Linked DNA regions of Rattus norvegicus. The protein of the gene in region 2 interacts with the protein of the main gene of each other region in a biochemical or structural test. Links are inferred from orthologs where the notes say so. Each region holds a gene or a part of one and is shown on either strand. Other genes may lie near its edges.

Region 1 (6,400 bases), on a different chromosome or scaffold from region 2:
ACGCCACACCCCTTAAATTGTTCAACAATGCTTACATCATCCCCTGCTGCCCTGACTGACAGCCTGCCTCCCTCACACGAGGACCCTGGAGGTTGTGCTACACCCACTTGAAAAATTCAAGACAAACCCAACTCTGGGCCTCCATTTATTTAAATTTGCAAGGTCCACTTCCCGACTAATCAGCATATCCCTAGGATCCAGAGTATACAGCAGGCATGCTTTAAACAACTGTTGTGTGGCCTGCCAATCACTCCCTATCTCCCCACCCCTAAGGAACTGAAGTCCTCTACCAGAGCTAAACTGTAAAAGGTGGCATGGTTGTTGTTGTTGTAATGATGCTGCTGGGTTTGTTGATGTTGTTTGGGCTTTGTTTTTTTGTTTTGAGACAGGGTTTCTCTGTGTACCCCCTTGATGTCCCAGAGCTTACTCTGTACAGACCAAACTGCCCTCAAACCCACAGAGATCCATTCAGTCTGTCTCTCAGAGTCTTTTGTCCCTTTCCTTGCTGTTGGCATTAGTAGCCTGTCTCTGGGACTGAACCCCAGAGACAGATGGGTTGGATTCACATTCAAGTTCAGCCATGCTGGACAAAAAAACAAAACAAAACAAAACACTACTTATTTTCTGTGTTCAGGTCCCTTACCTGAAAGCTGGAGGTAACAGAAAAGTGTTGCCCAGAGCTGTTGTGAGGATGATATAAGGTAACAATGCAGTAGGCTCTTGGTAAGTCTTAGGTGAGCACAAGAGGCTCCCTCATGAAATGGACCTAGAAGTGACTCACCTCTTTGCAATGTCGAGATTCAGGCACTATTGGTGAGACACTGGTTCCAGCTGTGTCTGCCTTTGTAGTCTGGCTTCAAGCTCTTATCTTTTTTCACCAGGACTTTGCACACTCTTGCAGAACTTGCCAACAAAATGGGTTCTGAACACCTGGTGTGGGTCCAAAGAAGAGCGAGCGGGGAGAGCTAACAGGAGAGGAGCTGTAAGATAGTGCTGTTTAAGCTTAGGAAAATAAGACAAGGGCTGAAGAGATGGTTCAGTGGTTAAGAACATGCACGGTTCTTACAGAGGACCTGAGTTCAACTCCCAGCACCCCCATGCAACTGCTTGTAACTCAAGCATCCAAGGAATTTCCCCTAACTTTGGACACATATACAGGCATACACACGTGTACAGGTAAATAAATAAAATGTTTAAAAAAAAATAAAAGGAAAATGAGACAAGAGTTAGCTGAACAAAGAACAGGTGTTTTCCTGAGAGGATAAGGTGGCTTGTCATAAAGAGTTCACTTGAGTACTGTAAAAGCTATTCCTGGTTGTCAACTTGACTATATCTGCTCTAAACTACAATCCAGAATCAGAGGGCTCACCTGTGATCTCGATCTTGAGGCTGGAAGATCTTGAGTTTCTGACTTGGATCACAATAAATTGCCTCAATATAGAGACATTCCATACGTTCTGTGACTCGAGAGAACCCTAATACAAGTACCATCTCTTCTTTGCTCATGGCCTCCCTTAGATCAAAAGCCTTGTTTGTTTGTTTGTTTATTGAGACAGGGTCTCACTATGTAGCTCAGATTATCCCGGAATTCACTATGTAGACCAGGCTGGCAAGTGCTAAGATTAAAGCTGAGTGCCACCATGCCCAGCTGCCTTTTACCCTTCATATCTGTGCACAAGTGTGTATCTGATGTATGTATCTGATGTACGCACACGTGAGCCCGAGTAACGTGTGTAGCTATGTATGTGCTACATCGGGTGATCTAAGGATAACTTTCCTTCACTTTTTTGTGTTTAAGACAGATTTTCATTAAGTCACCCTGGCTGGTTTGGAATTCTATGTAATCTAGGCTGTTCATCGCAGGATCTCTTTCCCTCTACAGGGTACTTGGTCCTAATCCTCTGAGGATTCCTCTGCCTAGGCTTCACATCTTCCCACCTGAGTTTGGAAACAGGTCCTCATGCCGACAAATGCTTTACTCACAGAGCCCAATTGCCTTCTTTCGAAAGAAATTTTAGGATCTAGGGGCCATGTAGCTCAAGGGTAGTGTTTTGCAGGTGAGACTTCTGGAGTTCGTTCCCCAGAACCACAAAGAAAATAAATGAAATCTTAACATTCCTTGGTCTTTTCCACAGCAAATATTCTCTTTTCAAGGCCCTACCTCTCTAGGAGTCTTGCCTATTTCTCTCAGAGTAGAAGATCTCCAGTCCCACAGGGACAGAGAATTCATACCCCATGAGCTGCAAGAAGAACGCTGCAAATGGAACTACAGGGCCTTACATATGCAAAGCAAGTTCCCCCACCACTGCTATACATCTAGGGGCCTGAAGCGTATTTTTGAGGCAGGCTCTTTCTACGTATCTCTGGCTGTCCTGGAATTTAATATGTAGACCAGGCCTTCCTCTGTCTCTCGGGCGCTGGGATCGAAGGTATGCCCCCCAAACTCCAGGCCTAAAGCAGATTTTTAAAGTGCACATAGGAATACTAGGAACAGGAGAAATTAAAAAATAAGAAGCAGGAAGAGTGCCCTCACATCCATCAGCCACCTGATGCAATCTGCACCTCTAACAATCCCGTAGCCCTAATGCAGCTGCAGACAGGTCGGATCGTTTGCATTCAGGACTGGTGCTGGGCATAGGGCTATAGCTCCACCAGCAGGCACTGTATTAGTGTGGTACACGGAAGGATCAAGCGGCTAAATGAATGGAAACAAGCCGGAAGGCCGTGTGCCGGGGTCCTGGACGCAGGTGCCTCCATGACCAATCAGTAAAGGTTTTGCCACATGGCCTGTCCTCAGGTCGTGCTCTCCACCAATGAGCGACGGTCACCTAGTTGGCCGGTGTACGCGACTGTCCGCGCGTGGAGCTGCCAATAAAGTTCTTTATAGCTTTGAATTTTTTTTTTAAAGTGACCGCTGCGGTCACGGCGCAGTCCCCGCCCCGCCACTTCCGGTCCCGCCGCCGGGAGCCGGTGCGGCTGTGAAGGCCAGCGCGACTCGGTGCCGCTGCTGGCCGGGCATGATTTTGGGTGCCGGCTTGCCTCGCCTGACTCGCGGTGCTCAGGTGAGCTGGTCGCGCGGGCTGGGCTGAGGCCGCGGCTCCTCTCGCCGGGCGCCACGCGGGACCGCGAGATCGGCGGCTGACGGGAAGCGCTGGGCGGGCAGCGAGCCCCCGCGGCTCTGAGGGCCGGGCCGAGGCGGACCCCGTGCCGCCGCCCGCAAGGTCACGGTCCGGAGCTCGGGCCGTCCGGGAGGCCGAGGCCGCGGCGGGGAGGCCGCTGTCCCTGAAGGGAGGCGGGAGGTGGACACAGCCCGCCACGGCGAGGGCGGGGAGGAGGGGCGGCCGGCCCGCCTGGCCCGGTTCGGTCCCTGACCCGGTTCCGCGGCGTGTCACCTGGGGTGTGGCCTTCTCTCCAGCGGGCTCAGTTTCCTCCGTCTCCGGTGGGCATTGGACCCCACTCCTCGGGGCTGCCGGTGGGTTGGAGTTGCTGAAGGCGGCTTCCTGGAGGGGAGACTGGCCTGTGGGTAGAAATCTGCTCTCCTTAAGAACCTGGTAGGGCTTGGCGGTGAAGGGAAAGAGGGCATCCCAAGACCTGGTTATCAGATTGAACAGAAGGTTCCAGAAATGAGCAGGGTGGTGTTGAAAAACAGTGAGGTGGCTGGTGGGCCTGGTGCCGAGGCTTCCTAGCTGTTTGGGCCGAATGTTGGGAGCTCGGCAGTACGAGAGAGACTCATAGGTGGGAATTAAGAGGGATAGTGATGGAGGGAACTTCAGGAACAGAATTAACCTGGACAGAATTAACTTGGCATTCAGTACCCAAAATCAAAGATGAGTCCGGAGGCGGTCAGTCAATAAACCGGGTTAGAGGCCCTTGGGCACTCATGCTGTACGATACTGGGGTGCGGAAGTTTTTAAAGTCTCAGTCTGAGCGCTTGCCTAGCAAGCGTAAGGCCCTGGGTTCAGTCCCCAGCTCCGAAAAAAAGAAAAAAAAAAGTTTAAAGTTTCAGTCTGTTTCTTTAGACTTGAGAGGTTAGGCATCCTTAGTAGCCCCGTAGTCCTCTCTTAAATGGCTTCGATTGGAACTGTCAGTGAGGAGTTAGCCTCACCTTGAGCTGCCTGGCCCTGCCCAGGGGACATCAGCTTGATTTCAGCACAGCACATAGGAATGCTGAATAAACATGATTTGGTGAGACTGGTAAATAACACACTACAGTCCTCTTTGGATGGCCCAAAGGCTGGTCCCACCCAGAGGAGGAACTAAGTGGGCCAATTACAACTTGTGGAATTTGAAACTCAGCATGCTGTTCAGAATAGCTGATCTGTTCCCAAGATACTGCCTTAGTCACAGTGTGATTTTTTTTTCCCCCAAGAAAAGGGAAGTTTTGGTCAAAGTGGGGTTTTCTAGAGGTGGGACATGTTGAGGAGGGAAAGAGAATTCAGAGGTAACTTCTACCCTTTTGATAGTTCGAGTAACTGTTTTTGTTTGATCCCCTTGTGTAGATTTAATTTTCTGATTGTGGGACATTTCCAAATTGAGACTTTGGTTTATTCCCTCACATGCTAGTGAAAGTGATGCAGATGATAGATAAAATAGCGGATACTCTAATCTTACTTGCCTTAGAGTATCAGAAAGTACGTGTTGGGTTTTCTGTGGAGACACCACCAGTGTTGTTTTCTACCTTGCACAGTCTTCACACAACATGTCCTACTGGAAAAGCCTACAGCTCACTGAAGATTACAAGTTAGAATCCACACCACACAGAGTAGAGCATGGTATGCCCATCCTCTGCCTCTGAGGGTGTGAGAGCAGTAGGCAGAGCCCTTGGACTGCAGTGGCAGGTCTAAGCAGCCAAGTGCAGGTTTGCAGGGTGTGGAGCAGCTTCTGTTCTTCATTTTCCAAGAAGCTGTTGTGACCACTAGGGACTGCCTGCTCAACCCTTAACCAGTGCTTTCCCGTTTCACTTTCCACCACTTGCCTTAGTGATACCAAAGGTGAAAACCTAATGGTCCTCGTGTGGAACATCCTCACTGGTCCCAGCAGTGTATAGGGTTGTTGTCTTGGACATTGTCAGACACCCCTGATGGCCCAAGGTCTGAGCATGGAGTGGTGGACTTAGACTTGGCCAAGGTGGGAAGCACTAACTCATGATCCTGCTTGAGGAATTTCTGACAAGATCATTCCAGGCGGCAACAAGGCAGGAAAACATTGTTACGGTTCTGCTGTTTTGGGAGCTTGTGGGCTGGAGTCCCTCTGGGGAAGTGACTTAGCGAAGACTGGAGGATGTCTGTGTTCTGACAAGGCTCATCTTTTCACATAGATGCCCCTAAGGAGAAGCTATTACAGAGTAGGACTGAACTGGCCCATCACTTCATGACTGATCAATGTTTGTATAAACTACACCATACCCACACTTACAACACATCTAAATGAAAACTAGTTTTTTTTGTGGTGAGTGCTTCTTATAGCTTAGTGTCTTGGACACTCATCCTCCAGGCCTGTTTCAGGAGGTGTGTGTGTGCATGTCTGCCAGTGTGCATTAGTGTTAGGAGTCTTTCCCAGATTTCAGAGCTATGAGCTTAAGCATACTGATGTGCAATACAAGAATTGTTTGGTACATTTAGACAAATGATACTTTCTGATTTTATTTTGGTATTTTTACCTTCCTTTTCTGATACATCTACTGTAGCCCTGACTAACCTCCAACTGACAGTCCTCCCTCAGCCCCCCAAATACTGATGTTACAGGTGTGTGCCGCTGTGGCCAGTGTAACCAGTCCTTATTGTGGCAGGGTCATGGGAGGATCATAGTCACTGTCTTGTTTTTGTGACACGTGATACAAAGTGAAATCTGCCCTTTACTAGGGATACACAGAACGTGGCGTGAGAAATTAGGCAAAAGAGTTGCATTTGAGGGTTTTTAAATTCTGAAGAGAGGAATATTCTTGTGTTCGAGGTCTGAGCCTTAAGTTTGACCTCTCAGGTAAAACTTTTCCTCTGTAAGTTTTAGATTTTGTTTGACTGAGAAATTATCAGGCCTATATTGAAAGGAGATGCTTTTAAAACAAGAAAGGAAACTATGCAAATATTGTACTACTTACCCTTGCTGGAGTGTTGGTATGAGGGGTGTCTGACCGATGGAAGTGTATAATAGACACAGAAGGCAGCTTGTGGAGGTAGGGATCGCTGACACCCTAATGTAAATTGTACTCGGAGTGCAAATATCTTCACTCCACTGGTCCATCGGTTAGAACAAATAAAGCCTTGCAGGGAATGCTGATAGTGAGAGCGGAGAGCAGGCACACGAAGTGCTACACCTTCTGCCCGGCAGTTGTTGCTCTGATGCGGCTGTTGAACGAACAGTCGAACAGTCGAAGGCTTACCGGGTGAGTGGCAGCCCTTTT
Region 2 (5,409 bases):
CCTCAATAAATTTGCATAGCTGTAGACAGCTCTATGGACAGAGAAAGAGAGCACATTCTCCCTACTGCAACCAGCAGGAACTAAGCCATGTTAGAATTTGGTAAACAGCAAACTATTAATGTTAAACTAAGTTCCTTAAGATCTTACTGTCAACACCCCTCATGCTCATTTTCCTGTAGGCAGCCTGGATGGTAGGGCAGTTTGACTCTGTAAGGAGCTGATTCTGTTGCTGCACTGACTGGCCTTGAACAAAGGATTGGTAGTCAAGGACCAGCTGGTCTACCCGTTTGCCAGTGTGATGGCTGTTCTGGGTCAACTTGACTACATCTGGAATGAACTACAGTCAGCAAACCTTACACTGCGTTTCAAAGTGAAAACCTGCTCAGTGGTTTTGGAACCTACAACTAAACTGCCTCTGCATGTTTTTTCGGAACTCTGGGATGGCTGTGCAGATGAGGGGGGTTGTGCCAATAGGGAATGGGGTCAGAAGCTTTTGTCTCACCCCTTCATCCTCCTCTCGTGTGTAGCATAGTAGGGCTTTGTTAGCATTTCGCTGGGTGGAGCACTGGCTCATTACTGCTATCCAGAATCCACTTATGAACTGTCAAAGCCACCTGATGTACATGACGGGAGACTTCCACCTTCACAGCAAAGCCAAGCACCTGTTTACTCTCTGACTACCTTTATATATAAAAAAGTCTATAGACTCATTCAAACATACTTTTAGTACCTAGAAAATTTAGAAACTATTTACCCATATTTTTAGTGGGTCTGACAGAAGCGAGTTTCAGAGAAACCAGACTAACAAGTAAGATCGTAGCTTATGAGGCTTGTGGTGTGAACGCCTGCAACAGTCGTGCTTGGGAGGCAGAGCCCGGGCCAGCTCCGTTCACTTTCAGTCCAGCGAGGGCTACAGTGCAACCCGGTCTCAAACTCTCCATAATTCTGAATTCATTGTGATTCTAAACACATTTAGAAAATCATTTTTAGAGCATCTAAGAGTGTTTGTCTGTATGTATGTGTGTGTACCTCCATGTTTACATGGGCACTGTGTACATGTAATACTCACAGAAGCCAAGAAGAGGATAATGGATTCCTTGGAACTGGAGTTACATAGCTAAGGGTCAACAAGGGTGCTAGAAATCAATCTGGGTCCTCTGCAAGAGAAGCAAGTGCTTTTAAATGACTAGGCCATCTTCCCTGTCCTTAAGGTTTTTCCATGAGTCCTTGGGACCGGAAGTCTGTTCCTCTGACTCACACAGCATTTCACACACTGAGACATATTTTCCTACTGGAACAGTTTGATAAAATGTTTGTTTGTGTGTTTCCAAGTAATTTTTACTACCAAATAAAGAGTATAAAGTATTTACTGAATTATTTTAATGAATTTAAGAGTAGAGATCAAACTTTAATAACTCAAAGCACAATATTTCATTTATTAAAGCATTGCATAATGAACTCCGGTGCCATACTGCTAAGCATTTTCCCACTAATATTTTGACTAAAACATACAATACAACCTTCCCAGAAACAGAAAATACTTCTTTAACCCTAAGCGGTTGAACAGTGAAACAGTAGTTTCCTTGACTTCTGGTTTCTTTTTTTTTTTTTTTTTTGGTTCTTTTTTTCGGAGCTGGGGACCGAACCCAGGGCCTTGCGCTTCCTAGGTAAGCGCTCTACCACTGAGCTAAATCCCCAGCCCGACTTCTGGTTTCTTAACAGTTACACTGTATTTACCCTCTTCACTCAGTACAAGTTAACCCTCATTTATAGAAAAGAAGATACCATGGGTTGCCTCACTCCCAACAACAAAGGGTATTAGGAGCAAAGGGTAGGAGTTGGCTTCTCAATGCATTTTATTTTTTAGTGTAACATTCTTTTATTTATTTTTTTAGCCACCAAGCATAAACACAAAATGTTCTTCTGTGAACGCAATGCTCTCCCAGCCCTTATGTACTGACAGATAAACAACAAAGATCCTTCAATTGCTGGTGTTCAAAGCAGTACATATCACACACACCACAGAGGTAGGAAAGGCTATTTTAATAAATTATCTTAATTGTAGACAATTTCCCAAAATTAAACAGACAAAATGATAAACCATGCCTTGGATGAGTCCCAGAGGCCACACACCATTCCCTCTATCTGAAGGTGAATCCCTGGAGTGTCAAGTCTGTCCAGTGACTTGGTGACAAGGTTGTCCAGGGTCACCCACCGCACCAGGAGAGCCTCTGCCGGCTCTCACTTGCCGATTCTTTGGACCACCCAGTCCTGCTGGCACAGAGGGCAGCGGTTGTTCTGCTTCACCCACAGGGACATGCAGCAGTTGTGGAAGGAGTGGTTACATTCTCCCCAGACCACTGCAGGAGAGAGAGAGAGCAGCTGCACTAGGCCACTTGCTACATCACAAGATCTGTATCAAGACCAGACAATGAAACAAATGGACAAACAAATCCGCTGATAGGACACAGGTCAACTTAAATAGCTAAGCTCAGGGGTACAGGAAGTTAGGAAGGGACACACAGAGGGGGACGTCAGGAGAGCGCTAGGGGCAAACAGGGGGTGGGTAAAATCAACATACATTATATGCTTATATAAAATTATCAAAACAAAAATTGTAAATATTCTAAAAATTTAAATTGCTAAGTTCAAAATTATAGTTTAAAAACCAAGAAAATAGTCATGACTCATAATCCTAAAAAATGTTGAACAAGTGATCAAAACATGTTTTTTTCTATTTACAAAAATATTTACATTTAAGAAATGTGCCACTGTGTTTTTGGGGTGAAGCCACAACCCTAGCTCCTAAGTAGCTCCATTAGTTGTCTTAAGTTAGGACAGTGGGATCCCCAGACCTCCTCAGTCATGGGGCAACCTTGGAGATCTTCTGTGGTTTGCTTTATTGAAAAACATCCTTCTGGTTTTTATTTACCAAAATACAAATGTTTTACAGGCTCAACCTATAGCTGGCTGTTATAAACAGATGGTGGGCATGGAACATCAGCAGCTGTACACTGAGGCAGCTGTTTTTCTAAAGGGGTTAATTATGCTAAACCATCCAGCTGGGTGTGGTCACACCCTACAGTCCCAGAATTTGGAAGGCAGTGGGATCCCAGAGAATCATAAAAGACCACCTTGTCTACATAACAAGCTCCAAGTGAGACCAAAACCCAAAGTTAATTATACCAAAACTTACCATGACAGCAAGTGGTACAGCACTTCATCTGACAATTAGATAGGCAGAGTGGCTGAAGAGAGCCATCTCTCTGAGCAGAGTTCTTTGCTGAGACACAGCCTTGCTATAATATATAGCCCAGGCTCCCTAGAACTCACTACGTAGGCCACAGTAATTGCCCAGTCTGAGCCTTGCAGGGTACTTGGGTTACAGATGCAAGCCACCAAGCTCAGGTCTTGAAATGTTTCTTCTTTCCCTCCCTTCTGTCCTCCTACTTCCTCCTTTTCACTGTGTTTTTGAGACAGGGTCTCACTGCACAGCTGACTGGCTGGAATTTGCTGATAGACCAGGCCGGTGTCCAACTTGTAGTGGCTCCTACCTCTGCTGGGGGTACAGGTGTGTTTACCAGTCTTGGCTTAGCAGTTTTCTTTTCTTTTTTTTTTTTTTTTTTTTGGTTCTTTTTTTCGGAGCTGGGGACCGAACCCAGGGCCTTGCGCTTCCTAGGTAAGCGCTCTACCACTGAGCTAAATCCCCAACCCCAGCAGTTTTCTTTTTTTTTTTTTTTTTGGAGCTGGGGACCGAACCCAGGGCCTTGCGCTTCCTAGGTAAGCGCTCTACCACTGAGCTAAATCCCCAGCCCAGCAGTTTTCTTAATAGGAGATATTATTTCTTTCTGCTTAGCAAAACATTTATCATGACCATGAATAGAGTATATAACCAAGTCTTAAAAGAATTTGCAAATTTATTTTATTAAGGTCTTTTGAGAACTAAAACATTTTATTATTTATTAAAAAGATGTTTTACGGGGCTGGGGATTTAGCTCAGTGGTAGAGCGCTTACCTAGGAAGCGCAAGGCCCTGGGTTCGGTCCCCAGCTCCGAAAAAAAGAACCAAAAAAAAAAAAGATGTTTTACTATGAAGTCTTCTGTCAGAATTCTTTCCCTTTTAGTTTTAGTCCTAATTTTGCTTGTTTTAAAAACTATTTTTATCTATAATTGTGTGTATATGACGGGGTGGGGGTGCTCACCTCAGTTTCATGTGGAGGAGGTCAAAGACCTTTGGGGAGTCAGCCCTCTTTCTATCTTTAAAGGGGTTCCAGAGATCACGTTTAGCTCATTAGGTTTGAGATGCGAGTTCCTTTACCTACTGAGCCATCTCACCAGTCCCTAACTGCCCTAAGCATTTTATAGTCATAATTAATCACTGCTTTATGGTTTATTTTTATGTACTGACCAGGACATTTCTCTCTCTTTCAGGTTTTTTTTTGTTTGTTTGTTTTTTTTTTGAAAACAGGTCTCACTACATAGCAAAAGCTGGCCTCAACTGCTCTACTTCTGGATTTACAGGCCTGGGTAACCTCAGCCAGTTTAATAAAGTCAATTTTAATTGCAAATTCAAACATTCCCACAGAGACAGAAGAAAAACCTTTAATTGGAAAGGCAGGAGAAAGAATTACCACATACCAACACAGTCCTCTTGTTTGTTTTCAGCTTGACATCTAAGACAGGCATCTGAAAGTAAACAGAGCGAATCTCATCTGGAGTTCAGGAGGCAACACTGGAAACCCAGACCTTCAAAGTCAAACAAAAAAGCCCCAAGGATCAGAGATGAAGAGAAGTCTTATATTATTAATTTCTCTCCTAAAAACAACTATTAAAGAGAAATACAACATGTGGCATTCTGCTAACTCCCCAATGTGATTTTACAAGCTCGCATGACAAGACAGCTTGGTGACCACACTACAGGAAGTCACTCTAGATAGAGATGCCAAAAAGTTATTGTAGACCCCCAGGTTGCTCGTGCACATGGACCAACTTTAGAGGTATTTACTTCAAGACACCATTGTAAATAACCCATAGCCATGTATTGATTATTTGATTATATACACATAAGGATCTAGAAGGATACTAGGGAACTAATAAAGGTTTTGTTTTAGGAGTTCACGTAGCCCCAGCTATCCACTAACCTGAACTGCCACACCAAATCATCACCTTAAAATCCTGCCTCTACCTTCTACCTCCAAGTTTTGGAATCACAGGCACGTGCCCCCAGCTCTCCCAATAATGAAGTTTCCACATCTACTCCCTTACTTTTAAACTATGTGACTATACAACCTGCTTGAAAGTTAAAGGCTTTTTCTAATCGTTTCATAAGCAAAATTCCTTTCCTTTGTTTTTGAGACTGGGCTTCATGTTGCTCAAACTGACGTAGATGATTTGAACCCCTAATCCTCAA
Region 3 (6,111 bases), on a different chromosome or scaffold from region 2:
GGCTTAGCGCAAGAAGTTGTGTCAAATTTTTAGAGTAGGCTGCTTTTTCCAAAAGGCTAGGGATGTTGTAATCCCAGCACTTGAGAAATTGAGGCAAGGACAGGAGTTTAAGGCCAGCCTCTATTATCTGAAAAGTTAGGACTGGCCTGAGCTACATGAAACCCCATCTCAAAAAAGCAGTTGGGGGGGGGGGGGGGGTAAGGCAGGCTGCTGGAGATATATATGGGGTAGAGTGCGTATCTGACTTATGGAGGGCCCCAGATTTAATCCCCAATACCAATTCTTTTAAAAAATGATTACGTTATTTAGTGTACATTGTGCCTATCTGTGTGACACTTGCCTACAATCCTAGCACTTTAGAAGCTAAAGCAGTTGAATGGCAATGAGTTCAAGGCCAGCCTAGGCTGCAGGAGTTACAAGCCAAACCCAGCTACAAAAACAGAAACAAATAGTGTGTGAGTTCAGGGCCCCAGGAAAACTCAGTGCTACAACCACTGCACAGCGGCATTGTTGACCAAACCCTTACATCGTTGTCCGAGTCCCCAGGGTAAATATCGCTTCCTACTCTCATCTCTGTATTCTGCTAGCTCTTACCATCTGCTGTAAATCACGTCAGTTATTGTAGTAGTTGTTTAGTGGGAAGGCCATAGATAAATTTTTTGAGTCAGGAAGTTCGGGTACAGCCTGGGCAATTCTTTTCCTTTGTCACTGGAATCTACTCCTCCACCTGTAAAGTTTCTAAGTGAAAGATGCTGTCAAGGAACCATTCCCAGTGTCTTCCTGCGTCCTCCTCCCTAGCGACCTGTAAGCTGCAGCCTGCATCTTCTACCTAATAGAGTTTCTGATTTGCTGTGAAATGAATCAGAGTCCTGAATCCCTCTCCCTTGCCCTCAGGCGTACCTTCTCATTGAGGAAGACATCCGAGACTTGGCTGCCAGCGATGACTACAGGTATACAGAAGGGGGCCCCTTCCCCCAATCTCCTTCTGCCTCGGTAGGCACACAGAGGAGGCTGGCACCCTCCCTTTAATCTCCACCCAATGTCTCCTACAGAGGATGCTTGGACCTGAAGTTGGAGGAGCTGAAGTCCTTTGTTCTGCCATCCTGGATGGTTGAGAAGATGCGGAAATACATGGAGACACTACGGACAGAAAATGAGCATCGTGCTGCTGAAGCAACTCCCCAGACCTGAGCCGAGTGTCCTGGCTACTACACTTGGCAGTCTGCCTCCCAGACCCTCTTTCCCGGCCCGGCTGAGGCCATCATGGGGATGCGGTCTAGTTGGCTCTTAGCAGCATCAAGCTGTACATGAGCTAGTTTGTAGTGACTCACTGCAGAGCCCCCCAGACTGGCTTGTGGTTCTGTTTCTAAAGTTATTGGAATAAGAAGCAATTAAACAAGTTTGTAATAAACACAGGTGGTGAGCCTGCTGTAATGAGTGCCTTGTGGGACCTGACAGAGCAAGGGCCAAATAAGTCTGCACACCAGAAACGGACCACCTACATGCCTGCCCACCTCATCTGTGCTCTCCCACAGTCTCCGTCCTTGTTCCAGCTTAGGAATGTTGCACAGTGTGAAGGCTAGCCCAAAGGGAAGGATGGCCTACCAAAGGAAAAATGCAGTTGCCTTTTATTTTCCCAATGTTATAGGCTATAGGCTAACACACTCACTGACTGCTGAGGCTGTAAGCAAACTTAGTAGAGTATGGGTTTTTTGGTTGTTGTTTTTTGGGGGGGTTCTTTGTTTTTGTTTTGTTTTTGCCTTTTGGGATTGAGACAGGATCTCTGACATGTAGCCATGGCTAACCTAAAACTCAAAGATTCCGCCTTGGTTGGGATTAAAGGCGTTGAGCACCATCAGACCTTGTTTTTGTCTCCTTAAGGCGCAGTCTCATATAGCCCAGGCTAACCTAGAGATAACCCTCAACTCTTGACCTGCCTGTCCTCACCTTCCATGGGATTACAGGCATGCGCCACCTGAACCCACGTTTACTAATAGATGGGGAGTCTGCTCTGACAACCGGCGCCTTTCTAAGTTTTTTTTTTTTTTTTAAGTTCTTGGGAACCCAAAAAAGTAACTAACATTTTTATTAGGATGAGGAGAAAAGGCTTCCGGCTTGGAGAATAACACTGTCAAGTTCTCCCTTTTCCGGAAGATGTGCTCCCTGCTGGGCGTGTGTGTGCTTGGACCGACCAGCGGATCTGGACGGAGGTCCAACCATTGCCGGGCGTGTGGAGCACTCGCTCGTGAAATCTCAACCCTTGGAAGTGAAAGCAAGGAGGATCAAGAAGTCAAATTCATACCTGGCTGCATAGCCAAATTACAGACTGACGGCAGAAGTCAGGGTTCCAAGAGACCCGGCGGGGGAGGGGCGGCGTACACACGTGGACCCTTCCTTTGACCCTTTAATGGTCGGCGTCGTCCAAAGGCCACCAATCTGCCACCTATTCGTTAGTTAATGGCAGCCTTCTTCACCAATCGGCTATCCGAAGTACGCCCCGCCGTCCAATCGCAGTGCATTACTGGGTGGCCTAGCAGTTGCGCAGAGGCAGAGCAATCCTGGGCGTCCCATTGGCTGGATCAAACCCAAGCGAGCCTCTGATTGGCTAGCGCAGCAGGAGGGTTACAATTCAAACGCGGGCGGCGGCCCGCAGCCCCGCAGTTGCTCTTTCCTCTCCACACGCTTGTCTCCGTGCCAGCACCTCTGGGATGGCCTCGCAGAACCGCGACCCAGCTGCAGCCAGCGTTGCCGCCGTTCGAAAAGGAGCAGAACCCTGCGGGGGCGCCGCCCGGGGCCCTGTGGGCAAGAGGTGAGTGGTGCGGAGGTCACCCCGGGGGCCTTGGGACACAAGAGGGGCACCAGGAACGCAGGAAATGGAAGGCTGACGGCGCTGCCAGGCAACTCTCATAGGTGGTTCGGCGAGCGCTGGGGTTAACATGCGGCCAGAAGGCTCATCTGGGTCCTCCTGTAGATGATAAGCGCCCGAGCTAAACCTGCCTTTGAAGAAGGGGCAAGGCCTCCATGACAACTCTTCAGGATAGTTTGGTGGGAAGTGATGTATCACCTCCACAGTGCCCCCGAGTAACCTTGACTTCTCTTTGCAGGCTACAGCAGGAGCTGATGACCCTCATGGTGAGTGACTGCGTGTTCTAAGATCAATTGGCCTATCTTTCCATCCCCCACCCAATTATCAGTAGCCTCCTTTACTACTGTGGCTACCTGCTCATACATACTATGGGTGTAATTCACTCTCTCTCTTACGGGAAGCCCTTTGAATGCCAGCCCTCACTTGAGCACCGCAGCTGTGTATGGAGTCATAACCTTATCTGGGTTCATCCCTACTTACTTTTCTGGCCCCAGCTCTAACCTTGCCCATCCCCACCCTTCTTGGAATTGGTATCCCTTAGAGAATTCTCTCCTCTGGTTGTCCATTGCTACATTACCCCTAAGTAGCAATCTACATGTTTTAGTGACATTTAAATCCCAGGTGAAAAACAGAAGAGGCAAAATTTGGAAGCACTGAAGGTGCTTCCCTGCTGCCCTAGCGTGGTGATCAGCCCGTGGCTTGGCTGCTTTATTTAGAGGCATAGCATGATTCGGGCGGGGCAGTCGCTCACCCACTGATCCCTTTTGCTGTGCCTATAAGTGTATGCTCAAATGCATCATTTGGGTGTTTCCTTCCTCAGATGTCTGGTGACAAAGGAATTTCCGCCTTCCCCGAATCAGACAACCTGTTCAAATGGGTAGGAACCATCCATGGAGCCGCCGGCACTGTAAGTGGGCAGCACTTTGCTAAGTGTGGTGAACTTAGCTGAGGAAGTGAACTCCAAGTGCTAGGTCGGCTTCAGTGCCCTGAGCCTGTTCACAGGCTCTGAGCCCTGTGGTTGTGTTCTTCAGTGTGAGGGAAAGGCACTCTCAAGGCAGTGAGTGATAGAGTAGGCGGGGCATCTTGGCTTGTGGGAGGGCACTAACAGCTTCCAGTTACTGCAGATCTGGTTTTAAGTCAGAAATTGGATCTAAATTTTCCCTTTAGTAATTGAGATATTAGTCGGACCACTCTGGTAGCCCTCGCTCAGGATGCCAGGTCAATCTTTTGACCAGAAGGTCACTGATGTCATAGGCCAACTTAGCATACAGTTTGCTAGTCAGACGCAGACGCACTCCTAAGTTCCTACCTGCATGGCCCTTATTTGGGGCTTGGATAGAATGTGGCCTGCTGGGGTGGGATGGGGGAAGTGAGGGCACAAGGTGAACACAGGCTTACCCTGCCCTTCTTTCCCCGAATGCCAGGTATATGAAGACCTGAGGTATAAACTCTCCCTAGAGTTCCCCAGTGGCTACCCTTACAACGCACCCACAGTGAAGTTCCTCACACCGTGCTACCACCCCAACGTGGACACCCAGGGCAACATCTGCCTGGACATCCTCAAGGACAAGTGGTCTGCACTGTATGATGTCAGGACCATCTTGCTCTCCATCCAGAGCCTGCTAGGAGAACCCAACATCGAGAGCCCTTTGAACACACATGCTGCAGAGCTCTGGAAAAACCCCACAGGTAGGGCCTTGTCCAGCTCAGAGTGACCCTTGCTAACGTACAAAGGGACCCTGGGGACTCGGTTGGTTTCTCCCTCATCCCCCTCACTGCTTCTCCATACTCACAAAGATGAAGGGGTCGGGGGGGTAGAATATATCTCCTGTTCCTTTCTGGACTCTGGAAACCAGTGTCCCAGGGAGCCAACCAGATGGCAACACTGGGGTATCTGCTGGACAGGGAGAATAGGCCTCCCCCATCCATCACTCACCCGAGCCCCCTATGTTCTCTTCCAGCATTTAAGAAGTACCTGCAAGAAACATATTCAAAGCAGGTCTCCAACCAAGAGCCCTGACGCCAGCTCTCCAGCTTTCTCTTGTGTCGTCTCTTTTCTTAGATGTCTGTCCTTTCTCCGTGGTTTCTGAGCTGTGCTGTTTTGTTTTATTTGTTTTTTTAAATTAAGTCTGCTTGAACCCATACAATGTATATTAAATAAATGCACGTTGATTGTTTTTGTATAAATTGCTGTCTCAAAGTTAACCTCAGCCAGAGGATGGGGGAGGGGCACTAGCTTAAAATCTGGGTTCTGACCTGACGTGTACAGGGTTGGAAGCAGCTGATAAGACAGTGTGGTCACTGAGAAGTGACTTTGTGTCTTACCTTATCGCTCTGCATATATTTCTTCTCAAGTGGGTGTCACATTGTGTATTTGCCTGGAGGTATAGCTTCCCGGGCAGAGAGCCTGTTTAATCCGAGGGAGGTGCCCAGCACCAAAGCTCACACTTCTGTGGGGTCACAGCATAAACTACAAATACTCCATCAGAACAGTTCCGGTTGGGATGCAGAGGAGGCTAAACCAGACCTTCAGCTCAAGAGTCTGTAGTGTGGGAGTGCTAGACACCCACTTTCTAAGATGTTAAAGATCTGGAGGATGGGAGACCCCACTCAAGTTGCCCTGTAGCAGGCTCAAGCTCAGAAGATAAGAAAGATTGAGCTCTAGACCCAGGTGGGTGATTCCTGCTCCATCTCCACAGGGTGTTATGGGTCCTACCCAAGTGTCAAGCAGCTGGCTGTACAGCCCTGTGGGAAGAGGGAGGGGAGGGGAGGCAGAGGGCCTGGCCTGTCAGGAAGGTTCTGGGCCCCTGTTAACTACTGTTAGCCCCTGCTCTTCCCTAGGCTTTTAGTGGGAAAAAGTCCGCTCTGAAGTGAGTTGTGTTCTTAGTTTCCTCCTCAGCATAGAGCTTTTATTAAATACTTTACTCATTTTTAATTTATATACATTGGTGTTTTGACTACATGTATATTTAAGGGTATTGGGTCCCCTGAAACAAGAGTTACAGACAGTGGGTGCCATGTGGATGCTGGGAATTGAACTCGGGACCTCTGGAAGAACAGCCAGTGTCTTAACCACTGAGCCATCTCTGCAGCCCCAGGGCATAGAACTTTATAATCCATCTTAATGTGGACAAACCCACTTGGGATCTTGTTAAAATTCAACTGTGGGAGGAAGGGAGGCGGAAGAGCCGCACTTCTGGTGAGCCCCAGGTTACTTTTGCTGTGGTCTAGTTAACATACAAGTT

What was found. The genes of interacting proteins can lie anywhere in the genome.
Region 1: the proteins of Rnf7 (region 2) and Ube2f form a complex in vitro, tested with the Homo sapiens proteins (10 studies listed by BioGRID, with this or other methods). The link is inferred for Rattus norvegicus from reciprocal best matches to the Homo sapiens genes RNF7 and UBE2F.
Region 3: the proteins of Rnf7 (region 2) and Ube2c form a complex in vitro, tested with the Homo sapiens proteins (4 studies listed by BioGRID). The link is inferred for Rattus norvegicus from reciprocal best matches to the Homo sapiens genes RNF7 and UBE2C.

Annotation. Positions count from the first base shown.
Region 1 is NC_086027.1:99,290,571-99,296,970, forward strand, and holds the start of Ube2f (NEDD8-conjugating enzyme UBE2F), read left to right. Parts: upstream 1-2,944; 5' UTR 2,945-3,062; intron 3,063-3,300; exon of another isoform or gene 3,301-3,472; intron 3,473-6,400. UniProt on the Homo sapiens protein: Accepts the ubiquitin-like protein NEDD8 from the UBA3-NAE1 E1 complex and catalyzes its covalent attachment to other proteins. Together with the E3 ubiquitin ligase RNF7/RBX2, specifically neddylates cullin-5 (CUL5).
Region 2 is NC_086026.1:105,917,025-105,922,433, forward strand, and holds the end of Rnf7 (RING-box protein 2), read right to left. Parts: intron 4,746-5,409; coding exon of another isoform or gene 4,708-4,745; exon of another isoform or gene 4,686-4,707; coding exon 4,638-4,685; exon of another isoform or gene 4,586-4,637; intron 2,361-4,585; coding exon 2,242-2,360; 3' UTR 1,371-2,241; downstream 1-1,370. UniProt on the Homo sapiens protein: Catalytic component of multiple cullin-5-RING E3 ubiquitin-protein ligase complexes (ECS complexes), which mediate the ubiquitination and subsequent proteasomal degradation of target proteins.
Region 3 is NC_086021.1:173,923,320-173,929,430, forward strand, and holds Ube2c (ubiquitin-conjugating enzyme E2 C), read left to right. Parts: upstream 1-2,655; 5' UTR 2,656-2,708; coding exon 2,709-2,809; intron 2,810-3,104; coding exon 3,105-3,132; intron 3,133-3,686; coding exon 3,687-3,773; intron 3,774-4,290; coding exon 4,291-4,555; intron 4,556-4,827; coding exon 4,828-4,886; 3' UTR 4,887-5,056; downstream 5,057-6,111. Other genes in the region: Dnttip1 (deoxynucleotidyltransferase terminal-interacting protein 1), read left to right, coding at 895-950, 1,053-1,191. UniProt on the Homo sapiens protein: Accepts ubiquitin from the E1 complex and catalyzes its covalent attachment to other proteins. In vitro catalyzes 'Lys-11'- and 'Lys-48'-linked polyubiquitination.